3 linked regions of the Oryctolagus cuniculus genome follow. The protein of the gene in region 1 interacts with the protein of each later gene in a biochemical or structural test. Links are inferred from orthologs where the notes say so. Each region holds a gene or a part of one and is shown in the gene's direction. Other genes may lie near its edges.

Region 1 (5,282 bases):
CACGTTGCTCTGGTTAGTGACTAATTTTCAGCTGCTGTAAAGCCTCGTAGGACCGTCATGTCTCTCCCTTTCTACCTGCCCCCTCTTACCTGTACAATTGCACAGGGGATGGGTGGGGTTGGGGAGAGGGACACTGGGCACGCCTCTCTCCTAGTGTCCTTTAGGCTGACCCTTCGAGGCCAGAGGTCTTTGTCATTCTTTTCTTGCTTCCTTAGGGTGAAGGTGCAGGGGACGATGGGAGATGAGAAGCAAGGGGTTCTTCATAACAGAACTTTTGAGTGGGAACCGTACTTTTCATCTCTGAGTGTCCGGATGGTCACTCACTCATTCAACAAATTCGTGAGCATCCATTGATGTATGTGATGCTGTTGTAAGTTGCTAAGGAGATGGCAAAAAAATCTGCACCCTTTGGTGACATTTAGAGTCCTCAGTGTGGCCCCGTCCCGCCTGCCCTGAGGTGTACCCCGACCTCTAGCTGAGAGCTGTGTCGTGCTGGGAGAGCCTGGCTGTCCAGATGTATTTTAGGGCCTATGTCTGCAACTTCAGAAGCGCAGACAGACCTGGGACGTGGGCTGCAGGCAGAGGAGCCGCATTGGCTGATGGGTTCCATCTTCTACAGTGCCTGTGTCCGCCTTCCTTGTAGCACTGGAGAGGCACTAGTGACTTACCGTAATTCACTAAGGGATAAAGGAGGAAAGCAGCAGGAAATTTTTGAATTGTTTGAAAGAGATGTAAACTAGCTGGGAGGCGTTTCTCTAGTCCATTGGTCATTAAACACAGTGATGTAGGTGGCCAAGGGAAGCCTGGCATTTCGTAGAAGTCCACGATCGATAGAATGGTGAAAAAGAAGCATTTGTGTTCTCATCTGGCTCTGGTGCGAAGGTGTAGTTTAGCCTGGCTTTATGAAGAAAACGTTTTCTTCATGACAATTGTATAATGTAGCCAAAGAAATTTAAAGGTTAAGGAAGCAGACTTCAAGTTCTTTCAAGTAAAAATAAATCAAAAAAAAAAAAAAAAGTTACAGAGAGAGGAGAGAGAGAGAGAGAGGTCTTTCATCCGATGGTTCACTCCCCAGTTGGCTGCAATGGCTGGAGCTGTGCCAATCCGAAGCCAGGAACCAGGAGCTTCTTCCAGGTCTCCCATATGGGTGCAAGGGCCCAAGGACTTTGGGCCATCTACCACTTTCCCAGGCCACAGCAGAGAGCTGGACAGAAAGTGGAGCAGCGAGGTCTCGAACCGGCACCCATATGGGATGCTGGCGCTTCAGGCCAGGACGTTAACCTGCTGTGCCACAGCGCTGGCCCCTCAAGTTATTATTTCTTACAACTGATTTGTGTTATGAGGCTACTTCTCGTCTAGCTGAAATAGGAGCATCTTGGAAGAACTGGCAAGCACTTCTAGCACTCAAATCGCACCACCTAAATGCATGCTTTTCTCCCCTTCCATCCCTCTGTCCTTGCATTAGCGAGTTTTATCGACTCCGCTGGTATGTGGTCAGTGATGGCGCCAAAGATGAGGGAATGGAGCCTTTATAAGTCTACAAAGGCAAAGAATGACAGCAGGATCCAGCATGGGCGTGGTTTGGTGCTTTCAGGTTCAAGAGGCCAATGATATCAGGGATTCCTTCTTTGCATCTAGCTGGGCTCAGAAATTCTGTTCTGATCAACGGATACCCATGGGTAATGGCTGTGTCAAGCTTTGCCCTAGGAGCTACAGCTGTGACTCTAGATCACAAGCCAAGGGCTGTTTGTTAGCTCTAAGATGAGAAGTTCTGTTTTCACATTATTGGGACTTCGAGTTTTCTCTGCAATGGAATTCATCCTCTTCTCCTCCAGGTAAAAAGGGCGTGTACATGACTGATATCATCCCTCAAAGCGTGGCTATGAAGGCTGGCATCCTGGCTGATGACCACTTGATTGAAGTGAACGGAGAGAATGTAGAAGATGCCAGTCACGAGGAGGTGGTTGAAAAGGTGGGCCCCACGGGGGACTTCTCTTACCTTCCTTTGATTCTACCCTCACTGGAAGGGATGGAAAGACAGGGTTGGTAGGGGCCAGCTAAACTTGTGGGCCAGTGGGGTTGCCCTACTGTGTGAATATACTCACTAGTGTCGTAGCCATGTTAATATGGTGTTTTGAAATAAACCCTTTGCTAGTTTCACATCAAGAGGCCTATCTTTATCTTGTGGATCTTACTGAGGCAGTAGTCCCACTTTATCTGTAGTTTTGCTTTCCCTCATTTCAGTTACCTGTGGTCGATTGTGGTCTGAAAACATTGAATGGAAAATTCCAGAATGTTTTAAATAACTTTTATATAATTGCCTACTTGTAATATGTGTTTATCTCGTACTATGTATAACTTATGAATTAAACTTTATCACCACAGGTATGTATGGATGTATATGAAGAAAACTATATATATAGGTTTCTGTACTATTGGGATTTCAGGCATCTGTGGGATACTTTGGGGAACACATTCACCTCTGATAATGGGGAGTAGCTGTATTCACCATGCTGGTTACCTTCTAGTTCCTAGTAAAACATTTTAGTATCATCTCAACACTGAATTTATTAATAAAATCAGAGGCCATTAGAACAACTATAACAATGTACTATAATAAAATGTTTTGGGCTTTGGGACCATTAAGTAAAAGAAGGGTTCCTTGAACACAAGTACTTTGATGCTATGAGAACTGATTTAATAAATGAGGTGGCTACCAAGTGGTGGTTGAGTGGGTAGTCCCACAGCGTGGGTTTGCAGGACAAAGGGATGATTCATGTCCCAGGCAGGATGGAGTGGGATGGCATAAGATTTCATTATGTTATGCAGAATGCATGTCACTTAAAACTTATGCATTGAGGTGGGTGTTGGACACTGTGGTTAGTTAAGTCTCTGCTTGCGAAGTCCACGTCCTATATTGGGAGACCTGGATTTGAATCCCAGTTCTGCTTCTGATTCCAGCCTCCCGTAAATGTATACCCTGGGAGGCAGCAGATGGTGGGTCAAGTAGCTGGGTCCCTGCCACCCACGCGGAAGACCTGGATTGAGTCCCGACTCCTGGCTTTAGCCTGGGCCAGCCCTGGATGTTGCGGGCATTTGGAGAGGGTGTGAAGTGGTTGATGGAAGCTCTCGCTCTGCCTCCCTTTCAAATTAAATGAAAAGTTAAAAGAGAGGATAGTGCTTACTAAAACAACAACAACAACAACAAAAAACAAACAAACCCTTATGAGTAGTTTATTTCTGGAATTTCAATACTTAGCATTTTCAGGCCATGGTTGATCATGGGTCGTGAAACCACAGACAAGGAGGGGCTGCCACGTGGAGGGGCTACCACGTGGAGCTACAGATGGAAGATGCTGGACAGGCCTCACTCCAAATCGAATGTCCCAGCCTGGTCCCATGACACGTGGAAAACACTTGGTTTTGTGGGGGGTATCATATGGAGCCTTAAAAATGAATCAACCTCTTCTCTTGGTAGAATGATCTTTCTTTTCCCAAACTCCTGTTCCAGGCTTTGTTTATGCACCTTTCTGGGTTTTCTGGTTTGCCAGGTTTCAGGCAGCATCTGTGTGGGTGAGGGCACACTCAACAAAGGGAGAAACAACTATAGGAGTAGAGGTAGATACAAACCAGCTAAAGGGTAGGAAATAGTCTTTTTTTAAAATTTTTTTTAAGTGATTTATTTATTTGAAAGGTAGTTAGGCAGAGGCACAGAGACAGTTCTTCCATCTACTGGTTCACTCCCCGATTGGCAGCGATGGGCGGAGCTGCGCCAATCTGAAGCCAGGAGCTTCTTCTGGGTCTCCCGTGCGGGTGCAGCAGCCCAAGGACTTGGGTCATCTTCTACTGCTTTCCCAGGCCAGAGCAGAGAGCTGGATCAGAAGCAGCCGAGACTAGAACTGGTGCCCATACGAGATGCGGGCACTTCAGGCAGCGGCTTTACCCACTACGCCACAGCGCCAGCCCCAAGAAATAGTCTTGAACAGCTTAAATGCAAGACTTGATTTCATGTTTCTGTTGAGTGCGTCTCCATGGCAATTCTCTTGTTCCCCAGCATCATCCTTGGGGGCTAATGTTGTCCCTCGTCTGTGTGTGTGGTTGCAGGTGAAGAAGTCGGGAAACCGTATCATGTTCCTTCTGGTAGACAAAGAAACTGAGAAACGGCACAGCGAGCAGAAGATAGAGTTCAGGAGAGAAGCGGCCAGTTTGAAGCTGCTGCCCCACCAGCCCCGCATTGTGGAGATGAAGAAGGGAAGCAGTGGCTATGGTTTCTATCTGAAGGCAGGCCCAGAACAGAGAGGTAAGGCGCTAGAAGAGGAGCCCCAAACTTGGCAGTGTAACCAACTAGTTCTTCATCCCAACCTGACCGCAGCGATCTGCTAGGCCCCCAGCTCCCTTCCAGATACATGACGGGGCCTAGCAAGAAACTAGGAAGCACAGCTGGCTTGGTTTCTCCATCACATAGTGGGGCCTGACTTTGGGCCTCTCAAAATGTCCATAGGTGGGTGCTAAGGCAGAATTTGGGAAATGGGGGTAAGCGTGCTGGTAAATTGACTTTCTGGGGGAAAGTCCTGATGTGTGATGCTTATTGACTTTCGTGTTGTAAATACTCCCCTCTCGCTGCGTCTGATTTCAAGCTACCAACATGCTGTCACTGAACACAGAATTGAGGTGTTGCCCGATACTGGCTCCTGTGAGCTGGTGTGAGTGTGCTAGCCCCAGCACGCCCCTGGATCTGCGACAGAAGTGCGGGTCAGGGTCTGGGACTCAAACATGGCCGGAAAGTAGTCTTTCTGCTTCCTTGTAACTAAAAACAAAAGAACCAAGACCCTTTCTGGGAAGGCAAATATGTAATAGACTGCAGGTCAGACCATATGAGCTGGTATTCAGCTAGAAGTTTTTTTCTATCTATGCTTTATATCAATTCATCAGATATTAATTTTGTTCATATTATATAAAAACACACTCAAGGTCTTAGAAGTGAATAAAGCAAAAATTCTTCAGTCAAGGGGCCTACTATTTAGTACAGGAGATAAGACACGTATGTCCATAACTGAAGACAGATAAGTACCTTCATGGGGGGGGGGCAGATAAAGTACCGAGGGAGCTGAGGTTGGAGCAGACTTTTCCTACCAGTAAGGTACTGGAAGGCTGCATGGTTGAGGTCACACTTGAACTTGTGCTTTTGTAGTCTGGATCAATTTGGCAAAGCAGATGGAGCCAGGACAAGCAAGGACATTCCAGGAAGGTAGGAGTGAGCCAAGCGGGGATACACAGGGCCA
Region 2 (5,282 bases), on another chromosome or scaffold:
GTGCGAGGTGAGAGAGGAGGGGACGAATTTCCGGGTGGGGGGTTCTTGCCCTCGCCCACCCACTAGGTGGTATTTTAGGATCAGAATCCTAACTCTGGCAATGAGTGTAAGGGGATACAAGTTACCCACCTGCTCAACTTCCTGGCCCCATAGGAAGTGACCCTGGGAGAACTCCAGGCGAGGCCACCCAGCCGGTACAGAGACAGGTGTGCACGCCTCAGGGCCCAACTCTGAGAACCTCGTCTTCCCCTTAGCTGTGTGGCGTGGAGTAATCACTCAGCCTCTCTAAGCCTCCGTTAACTCCTCCCTGAGATACAGGGCCAGCCTAATGAGCGTACAGCCTGTGGCGTCGTCTAGGACCCTGTACTTGGCAGGGCCCTGAGCCTGGTTAGACGCTCCACTGCTAGTATCTTGGTTTTATTTTTTATTTTAACTTTGAGAGACAGAGAGAGAACTCCGCATCAGCTGGTTCCTTCCCCGAATGCCTGCACCAGCCCCCTGGCCGGGGTTGAAGCCAGGAGCCGGGATCTCGGTCCAGATCTCCCATGAGCCATCACTGCTGCCTCCCAGGGTGCATGTTATCGGGATGCTGGGGTCGGGAGGCAGAGCTGGCACTTGACCCCAAGTGGGACGTGGGCCTCCTAACCACGGGGTCAGAGGCTCACCCCTTGACATTCTGAACAGCTGTTGAACAAAGAGAAAGGCCTTCTATTTCCAGTTTGCATGGACCTGCAACTTTGTAGCTGGTCCTACTAAAATGCCTCCCTCCCCGGGTCTCTGTGAGAAGAGTTTGGTAAGCGCTGGCTCATGGGATGCACCCAGCACCGTTCTTACATGGAAGGGTCACCAGGAGGGACTGTGTGTCGCCTGCCCTGCCTCTCCCTTCTCTGGGAGGAGCCTGTAGGAAACAGCTTGGCCTCTTCTGGAACATTCTCACTGGCTTCTCCCCCAGCTGATCGCCTGGGAGCCGGAGCAGGAAGAGGAGGTTACCATGGTGACCGTCCGGCCCAACTTTCAAGACAGCATCCACATGGGCTTCGTGTCCGGCCTGAAGAAGTTCACTGACTACTTCACCTCCGTGCTGTGTTTCACCACCCCCGGAGACGGGCCCCGCAGCACCCCCCAGCTGGTGCGCACCCACGAGGATGGTAGGCATCGCCCAGCCCCCACCCACGGCCGGCTGGCCGGCGCTGCAGGCAGAGGCGGCCCTGGTCTTGGCTCCTGGGCCCGGGCATCCCTGGGTGGCCGTGGGCTGCCTTGCAGACGGTGGTCTCTCTCTCTCTTTCTCTGAGGCTTTAACTGGCATCGGGTGGGGTGGGGGGTCCTTTTGGGGTACAGTGCCCGGCCCTGTGGGACACCTGAGCTTCAGTGACATCCTGGACACCTCGCTAAAGGTCAGCTGGCAGGAGCCAGGAGAGAAGAATGGCATCCTCACAGGTAGGTGTCGCGGTGTCCCTGCACCAGGGTGGGACGGGGACAGGTGCGTCAGCTGGCCCATCCCCCTGTCTTCATTTAGTGCCATGCAACCCCCCGGCCAGCCCCCTCGTTCTAGCACACGGCACTGGGGAGGCCTGCAGCCCCTCTGCTCTGTGCCACATCCCATGGTCTCCGGCCAGGGTGCCTGGCTCTCCCCTGCACTCCCCACACCAAGTCGGTGTCCCATGGAGGTGACGCCTGTGGCCCCGGCTTCAGCAGTGACCCCCCCACACCTCCCCCGGCCTTTGTGACTCTGTTGACCAAGTGAAAAAGTGAGAAGTAGGGCGAGGGTCAAGGCTAACTCATGGTCCCAGCCAAGCTCACTCCACTGCTGGGGTGTTCTCCCCAGGGTACCGGATCTCCTGGGAGGAATACAACCGAACCAACACCCGCGTGACCCACTACCTGCCCAACGTGACCCTGGAGTACCGCGTCACGGGCCTCACCGCGCTCACCACCTACACCATCGAGGTGGCTGCCATGACTGCCAAGGGCCAGGGCCAGGTGTCCGCCTCCACCATCTCCTCGGGGGTGCCTCCAGGTGGGTGCCGCTCTCAGCACAGGACTGCTGGCCTCTGCTGTGCCCCTCAGCAGCCTGTGGCTGAGGCCTTGTGGTCAGGGATGTTGGCTTTCTACCCTTCGGGCCCTCGCTGGCCCCGGGTCCTCCCCACGACTCCAGGTCTCTGGGCGAAGACTCGGTGGGCTCACTGCAGCTTCCTCCCCCAGCCCCATCGCATCTCAGCGTCCCCTCCCTCCCCCACCCCGGTCCACCACAGCCTCCCGTGGTATCTGGAACAATGCTCACTGGTACCGGAAGTCCAAATGGGTCGCTCAGGGAGGTGGCAGCAGGTGGCAGGAGCAGTCTTGGGCCAGACACAGAGAGGGAGCCGGGGTCTGATCCCAGCACTGTACCTGCCCAGCTCTGTGCCCCCGAGCAAGACGAGGCTGTCACCCTGTCTCCATTTCCCCACCCGTGTCCACGGGGAGTTGGGCTAGGTGACCATGTGGCCAGCATCCCTCCTCCCTGTCCTTGAGGGCCTGAACCTGGCCCGTGCACCACAGCCATAAAGAGTGACGTTGATAGGCACAAGGGGACTTCAGAGAGGTGGTAGAAAATGGAATAAAACTCAAGTTCAGGAGCAGGTGCTTGGTGCACCAGTTAGCTGCCACGTGGAATTCCCATATTCCACCTCCAATTCCGGCTTCCTCCTTAGGCTCCCCCTGGGAGGCAACAGGTGATGGCCCGAGTACTTGGGTCCCTGTCACTCACATGGGAGACCAGGATTGAGTCCCAGGCTCATGACTTTATCCTGGTCCAGCCCTAGGAATTTGGGGAATAAGCCAAAATTCTTTATATCTCTCTCTCTCTTTTTTTTGGGGGGGGGGAATTTATTGACTTATTTGAAAGGCAGAGTTACAGAAAAAGAAGGAGAGACACAGAGAAAGAGAGAGAGCCTCTATGCACTGGTTTACGCCCCCAAATGGCCACACAACAGCTAGGGCTGGGCCATGCCAAAGCCAGCAGCTTTTTCTGTTCTCCTGTGTGGGTGCAGGGGCCCAGGCAAGATTGAGATATCTTCCACTGCTTTCCCAGGCACGTTAGCAGCGAGCTGGATTAGAAGTGGAGCAGCTGGAACCCAAACTGGCAACCCAAACTTGACTTTAGGAGCCTCAGGTTCCTGGTGGGAAAACTCCAGCTGCCCCCGTCCCCACCCCACCCCAACCCCAGGCTGGGGAGCGGCGTGGGGGCCGGGCCTCTGGAAGGGAGGATTGATCCCGCTTGGTTCTGCGGAGCCACATTGGGCTGGCTCAGCCTTCGTCAGGAGCGTCCCAGCAGGTCCCCACCAGCCCCCAAGGAAGCCCCCTGCATCTGCGGCCCCTGTTGCTTGGCCCTGGGAGCCGTCCCTGGCCCTGCAGGGTGCCTTGAGCCCCCAGATCTCTCGGGCTCCTGGTGTATGCACAGGTGCTCTGTCAGGCGCAGGAACACAGATTTTGTTGGGGGGACAAGAGGGAGGCCTTGACCTTGCTTCTCCAAGGACAAGTCTAGGAAAAGTCCCCTCTGTGCCCACAATGCCTATTCCAGGAGGGGACACTTCCTCCTGACCTCCTGCTCCAGGTGGGGACACATTGTCCCCTGACCTCCCACCTTATCCTCTTATTTTCCAGAGCTGCCAGGGGCCCCCACCAATCTGGGCATTTCCAACATCGGCCCCCGCTCTGTGACCTTGCAGTTCAGGCCAGGCTACGATGGGAAAACCTCCATCTCCCGCTGGCTGGTGGAGGCCCAGGTAAGGCCTGCTGAAGGGTGGCCCCACGGGACAGGCAGTGCCCCCTCTCCTGGCCTCGGGCAGCCCCCAGCTCTCCACCGTGTAGTGTGTATCGGTCTGCGTGAATTTTCACGCACAACCCTCAGTGGCCTAATACAGGTGCGTGTCCGCCTACACGGAGTTTATGTCTTGACAAACCCATCGTAAGTTGAAAATATCTTAAGTGGAAAACACAGTTAAAACACCTGCCAGACATGACAGCTTAGCCCCGCCTACCTTAACCCCGCTCAGAATGCTTGTTTACATCAACCTACAGCCAGGTATCTCAACAAAGTATCATATTAGGAATTAAGAGCCAGGAAAAATGTTAAAATTCAAAAAAAGTGGCAAATACGAGTGCATGTCGATTTCACAGCCTCATCCGACATCCTTCAGTCAGGCCATTGTGAGCTGGGAACCATCCACATGTCCCAGATGCCCACACCCGCACCTCACCTGAGCCTGTGAGCTCCCCACTCCTCCCTCATCCCTCCCTGGCCCAGGTGCTGAGCAGCTGGCCTAGAACCTGGCTGCTGGCCGCAGCCCCTCTAAGCCACCGGTTCTCAGTTTTGCCTGCACCTTTGACCTGCATCCCACCCCCCGCAGTCCTGATGCATGGTTGGCTGATTTGGGTGCCAGCGGGGATCCTTAGCCACACCCCAAATGTTTATGAGGAACTCGTGACAAGCCCAGCCACGTGGCACCACCCCCAGGATTCAGATGGGCTGGGTCTAGGGTCGGACCTGGGACTGCAGGTGTAACCAGCGTCCATTCGGTTCTAAACAGGAGGTCTCCGAGTCTCACTGGAGCCAAGGTCAAGGTCAAGGGCCCTGAAGGATGGGGACCCCTTTGGTGCTTTGCAGGAGTCCTGGGAGTTGAACCCGGACCCCTGTGGAAGGGCTGGCGTCTCCCCGGAGCTGGGGCTCAGGTCCAAGGGTCCCTCCCTTTTCCAGGTGGGCGTGATCGGAGAGGGAGAGGAGTGGCTGCTGATCCACCAGCTTGCCAACGAGCCCGACGCCCGCTCCATGGAGGTGCCCGACCTGAACCCCTTCACCTACTACAGGTAACCAGACACAGCCGGGGTGGGGGTGCTGCCCAGACCGGGGGGGGGGCATGGCCCCAAGTCCTGCCCTCACCGTCCCTCATCATCCTCTCCCCCCGCCCCCAGCTTCCGCATGCGCCAGGTGAACATCGTGGGCACAAGCCCACCCAGCCAGCCTTCTAGAAAGATCCAGACCCTCCAGGCGCCCCCTGACATGGCCCCGGCCAACGTGACGCTGCGCACGGCCAGTGAGACCAGCCTGTGGCTCCGCTGGATGGTGAGGCTCCAGGGGGGACCTTGACCCTCACCACCCCACAGAGCTCTCAGTGCCCCAGGGAGGGCCTGCCTCGGAATGCCGACAGCTCGCCACTCTTTTTTTGGAAAATGTATTTATTTGAAATGCAGAGAGAGAGAGAGAGATCTTCCATCCACTGGTTTATTCCCCAAATGGCTGCAAC
Region 3 (5,282 bases), on another chromosome or scaffold:
TTTGTGTTTTGAGGAAGGCCTGCCTGTGTTGTCAGAGCCGAGGAGCTGCAGGGAGTCCCTGGATCGTGGGCCCTGCCTGCCTGCTGGAGAGCAGGGCTGTGATCCGGTGGCTCACCTCTCCCACCTGTCCCCCTTAGGAGTAAAACGGCAGCGTTCACTGACGCCAGGATCAGGACCATGAATGAGGTTATAACTGGCATAAGGATAATAAAAATGTATGCCTGGGAGAAGTCGTTTGCGGAGCTCATCGCCAGTCTGAGAAGGTAGGTCTGTGCTGAGCGGGCGGTGTTTGTGCGCTGTGCCTCTTACCATTTGGTCCTGAATTGGTTTGAGAAATCTCGCTATGATTTCACATGGGGGTGAACTTGAACGCTGTGCATGCCCACCTCCTGCATGTGGCAGTAGGTTTAGTAGAATGGCCTAGGACACCATTTTAACCTGGGCTTCCCTTTTCGTTTTCCTCTCCTCTCCTCTCCTCTCCTCTCCTCTCCTCTCCTCTCCTCTCCTCTCCTCTCCTCTCCTCTCCTCTCCTCTCCTCTCCCCTCCCCTCCCCTCCCCTCCCCTCCCCTCCCCTCCCCTCCCCTCCCCTCCCCTCTCCTCTCCTCTCCTCTCCTTTTTAAAGATTTATTTATTTATTTGAAAGTGAGAGTTACACAGAGAGGAGAGGCAGAGAGAGAGAGAGAGAGACAGGCAGGTCTTCCATCCAGTGGTTCATTCCCCAATTGGACACAATGACCAGAGCTATGCCAATCCCAGGCCAGGAGCCAGGAGCTTCTTCCAGGTTCCCCATGTGGATGCAGGGGCCCAAGGACCTTGGCCATCTTCTACTGCTTTCCCAGACCATAGCAGAGAGCTGGATCAGAAGAGGAGCAGCCAGGTCTAGAACTGGTGCCCATATGGGATGCCTGCGCTTCAGGCCAGGGCATTAACCCACTGCGCTATAGCGCTGGCCCCTGCGCTTCCCTTTTCTTAAGGCAAAAAATGTACGTGAATCTGACTAATAGTGAAAATGAAATTCCAAGTGTTTCTGAATAAGCAGTGGTTCTGTTAATACTGAGGGTATGACCTTTGAAATGAAGCTGTAATTGATGTTGATGGGGAGATTACAGAGATGGGGTGAGCCTGTATTGAGCCAAACAGCCATGGAATCAGTATTCCTCTTTGTTATTCCCTATCTTTGGAAAAATTTTTTTGTCTTTTGATTGAAATATTTGATTACCTTTCACACCTCAACACATGATACCTGGCACCCTCATCTTTGCACCTTTACAGGCCCCTCCCTATGTTTGGGAACCCTGTTGCCTTCATTCTTCTCTGGCTCTGCCAAGCACGTGGCCCTCTGCACCACGTGGAGTTACCCACTGCCTTTGCCTGCTCCCAAAGGCGCCATGCTTGCTGCACCTTCTGTCTAGGGTCTTGGGGGTCTCACGATTCTCAGGTTGCTTTTCTCTCCTCTCATGAGTTCACGAAGCACCTGGAGGGGACAGGCTGTGTCTCCCTCATCTTTCTGGCACCACAGAGGCACTTGGCACAAGGCTTAAGTTTACAAATGCTTGTTGAGTGAGTCATTCGAACGCTTGTTCAAGCCCAGTCTGATAGACTCAAAATGTAATCCCATGGCATTGCACATTTCAACCACTGCGCATAAAAATATTGGATAAGCACTGAATTTTTCACCGTGTGAGAAGCAGTTTGTCTTAATCTGTGGCCCCCACCCTAGAACAGAGCCACATGCAAAAGGCGCTTGGGGTCGTGAGCTTGACGTGGACATTTCCTGCAAAGCTCCTGTCCGTTGTCCGTTGCAGGAAGGAAATTTCCAAGATCCTGAGCAGTTCCTACCTCAGAGGGATGAATTTGGCCTCATTTTTCGTTGCAAGCAAAATCATCGTGTTCGTGACCTTCACAGTCTATGTGCTCCTGGGCAACGTCATCACAGCCAGCCGTGTGTTTGTGGCCGTGACGCTGTACGGCGCCGTGCGGCTGACCGTCACCCTCTTCTTCCCGGCAGCGATCGAGAGAGTGTCAGAGTCGATTGTCAGCATCCGGAGAATCAAGGTTTGGTAGAGAATGATGGTGAAGGGTGTGGGTGGCTCCTTATTCCTATTGCTTTGGGTTCTTGGGTCCCAGTTAAGGGGAGCTGAACTCTATCAGCCCCAAAGCATGCAGTTATTCCAGACGTAGGAATGACTTCCCTACTTCTCATAGGGAGGGTGGGCAGGAAACAGCACACACTGTGATCACATGTGGACAGCAATGTGACGGTGACCGGGGGGTTGTCTGTGTCAGTGATAATGGGGGTGTGATGAAATGCTAGGAACAGGGAAGCAAACAGATTCCGTCTCCTGTGCCAGCTCCAATGAGTAGGTAGGAGGAGTGGGTCCCTCTTTGTACTGGGAAGAGAAGAGCTTGCCAAATAGCCCTGCTGCTTGGGGAGGCAGAGTGGCCTGAACCTCACCTAATGACCCTTGTTGAAAAGCAGGTGCTTGGTGCTGGCATTGTGGTGCAGCCGGTTGAACCACCACTTAGGATGCCTACATCCCATATCAGTGCCCTTCCAAGTCCCAGGTACTTCCGGTCTGGCTTCCTTTTAGTGCTCTTTGGGCGGCAGCAGGTGACAGATGGCTCAGGTGCTTGGGCAGACCAAGATGGGAGACCAAAACAGAGTTCTGAGCTCCTGGCTCCAGCCTGGCTCAACCCTGAGTGTTACAGGCATTTGGGGAGTGCTCCAGTCAATGAAAGATGTGTCTTTCTCTCTCTCTGCCTGAAAATTAATTAAACGTTTTAAAATCGGGTCTTTCCTCCACAGTTGCTTTACCTGTTGATTTCTGGCTATGCCTTTGGATCCCTGCCTGTTCTTTCCTGTTCTCTTTTTTCCTTTCTCTTACTGTGGTTGAACCAGTATTTTACAAGCCTTTTCACTTTTGCTAAGCAGCTGTCCCTAAATTGCTAGGGGCAAATAACTTACATAACTAAGATAAAGGGCCTGGCTCATAATAGGTGCTCACGTATTGGTACTGCTGAATGGGTCTAAAGTGAGAATGAATCGGTTCCTTGCGAGGGCCTTGCTTGTCTGAGCTTTAAACAGATCTACTTGTTTTTGCTCAGCCATGATCCAAGCCCAGCAAAGATCTCCTGTGAACACAGTGCCCCATCATAAACAAAGATCAGTTTTTAACACAAGGTCATAAAAAAAATAGTATGCATGAAACTGATGAGTCACATAGGGTCAGTTCTGGTGCCCTGGAGTATTATTTCTTTTCTTTCTTTCAAGGTTTATTTATTTATTTGAAAGGCAGAGTCACATAGAGAGAGAGAGAAAAGGAAAGACAGATAGAGAGATCTTCTATTCACTGGTTCACTCCCCAAATGGTCACAAAGGCTGGGGTTGGCCAGGCTGAAGCCAGGAACCAGGAGCTTCTTCTGTGTCTACCATGAAGGTTCAGGGACCCAAGCACTTGAGCCATCTTCAGCCACTGTCCTAGGCACATTAGCCTAGGAGCTGGATCGGAAGTTGTCGCTCCCCCTCTTCGTGGAGGAACGACACAGGACCCTGCGCTGTTCTTTTGTCTGCTCGGCCCTCCCTGGGTTTGCTGCTGGTTCTTCCCGGGTTGGCTACTGTCCCTCCACCTCCGTGGAAGGGCGGTTCCCCCTGGCCACATTCCCCACTTCCGCAGGGGAGCAGCACACCGCCGGCCGGCTCTCTCGGGGGCTGCACAGGTGTTCCTTCAGATGTTCCCCTTAGATGTTCCCCTTAGATGTTCCTGGTGCATGCCGTCTCTCTCCTCCTTTATAGTCCTCCTCTGCCAATCCCAACTCTGCTGCCCACACGCCGAGTACGCTGCTCTCCTCCAATCAGGAGCAAGTCCTACAGTTTATTGGCTGAACTGGAGGCAGCTGTGTAGAAGCTGTTTTCTTCTCTCCCAGCGCCATATTGTGGGAGAGCAGATGCATAGAATAAGTCTTAATTCCAGTAACTCAGTCTAGTCCGAGTTGCTCCCCACAGGAAGTCGTGCAGCCAGGACTCAAGCTGGTGCCCGTATAGGTTAGGCACCATTCTTTAACCTGTTACACCACAGTGCCAGCCCCTGAAGTTATTTTTTGTGACCGTGGCTTAACCCAGCATGGTTAAGGCGTGGTCCATGCATTGGAATAGCTTTTTTTTTTTTTTTAAAGAAAACATTGAGGAAAATATTTTGACGATAGTGTCATTTTAAATGCACACTGTGCCTCTCCTAGAGGGTGGCTTGCTGTGTGTTGTGCTGTTGTAATTCTGTTACTACTGTTGTCACTATTATGCTGCTCACTTTCATTGCTGGTGTGTGTGTGTGTGTGTGCGTGCGTGTCCATGTGTGTGTGTGCTCATCAGTGCACAAACCTCACAAAGTTCACAGAACACAGAATTAAAAATTTACTTCGGTGCAGAAAATGTTTGATATCCAGGCATAATTTTATTCATAACATGCATTTCCATGAACTTTTTGAACATCCCATATTCACTGATTGCAGATCCTTTTTTTGGTACTGAAGTAATCTTATCTTTTAATTCTATTTTCCTTGAGTTTTTGGAAGTACCCTTGTACTGGGGTCAGGGGTCCTTGCAAACCTTTACTTTTGTTGTTGTTTCATTCTGATGATAATCTAAGGCTTACTGGTGCACTAATGTCCCCTCTGCAGGTTCCCTTAATAGGTTAAATAGTGTCCCTTGTCACATAGCTTGTACAAGATCGAGTGAGGACTCTGCCCTGAGCCCTGGTTTCCTAACCTACGTTGCCTTCTTAGTACCTTCTAACATGTGGAATAATTGTTGTCATCATCTAATCTGATTCCCCAAACCTCCATAGGTTCCTTTTTTCCTGCAAACTCAAATTTTAACACTCTAGGTTTTGCTGTACCCCACATGCACCCCAATCCGGGGTCTTTGGCTCCTACCTTTGGCCCTGCCAGGTGCCTTCTCTTCTGTCCCGGGTTTAAGCACACCCTGCTGAGCGCTCTGCTCCTCTCCCATGGCCTTTGCTGTGCTTTTATTCTGCTGCACAGGCAGGTGCCACCTAGCCCAGCCTCTCTGGACATGCAGTGGGCACTCAGTACTGGGCTGATGGAAGCCACAGTCCCAGGAGTAGGCAGGGACCCAGGGTGGCCCAGCCTGTACCAGAAGCCAGAGAAATGCCAAGTGGAGGAGCAGATTTGAGTTGGGCATTCCTGGAACACTGCGTTTTGGAGAATCTTGGCTGACCCACGGGAGGGGAGCAAGGCCTTGTCTAGAGTGGGGACGGATGGGCCTT

Evidence for each region. The genes of interacting proteins can lie anywhere in the genome.
Region 2: the proteins of PDZK1 (region 1) and SDK2 interact in a test that uses a peptide from one of them, tested with the Homo sapiens proteins (2 studies listed by IntAct, with this or other methods). The link is inferred for Oryctolagus cuniculus from reciprocal best matches to the Homo sapiens genes PDZK1 and SDK2.
Region 3: the proteins of PDZK1 (region 1) and ABCC4 form a complex in vitro, tested with the Homo sapiens proteins (2 studies listed by BioGRID and IntAct, with this or other methods). The link is inferred for Oryctolagus cuniculus from reciprocal best matches to the Homo sapiens genes PDZK1 and ABCC4.

What each region holds. Positions count from the first base shown.
Region 1 is NC_091438.1:49,215,735-49,221,016, forward strand, and holds part of PDZK1 (Na(+)/H(+) exchange regulatory cofactor NHE-RF3), read left to right. Parts: intron 1-1,835; coding exon 1,836-1,972; intron 1,973-4,104; coding exon 4,105-4,300; intron 4,301-5,282. UniProt on the Homo sapiens protein: A scaffold protein that connects plasma membrane proteins and regulatory components, regulating their surface expression in epithelial cells apical domains.
Region 2 is NC_091448.1:6,644,060-6,649,341, forward strand, and holds part of SDK2 (protein sidekick-2), read left to right. Parts: intron 1-952; coding exon 953-1,148; intron 1,149-1,338; coding exon 1,339-1,437; intron 1,438-1,825; coding exon 1,826-2,017; intron 2,018-3,642; coding exon 3,643-3,764; intron 3,765-4,735; coding exon 4,736-4,845; intron 4,846-4,950; coding exon 4,951-5,101; intron 5,102-5,282.
Region 3 is NC_091440.1:17,214,604-17,219,885, forward strand, and holds part of ABCC4 (ATP-binding cassette sub-family C member 4), read left to right. Parts: intron 1-137; coding exon 138-263; intron 264-1,805; coding exon 1,806-2,055; intron 2,056-5,282. UniProt on the Homo sapiens protein: ATP-dependent transporter of the ATP-binding cassette (ABC) family that actively extrudes physiological compounds and xenobiotics from cells.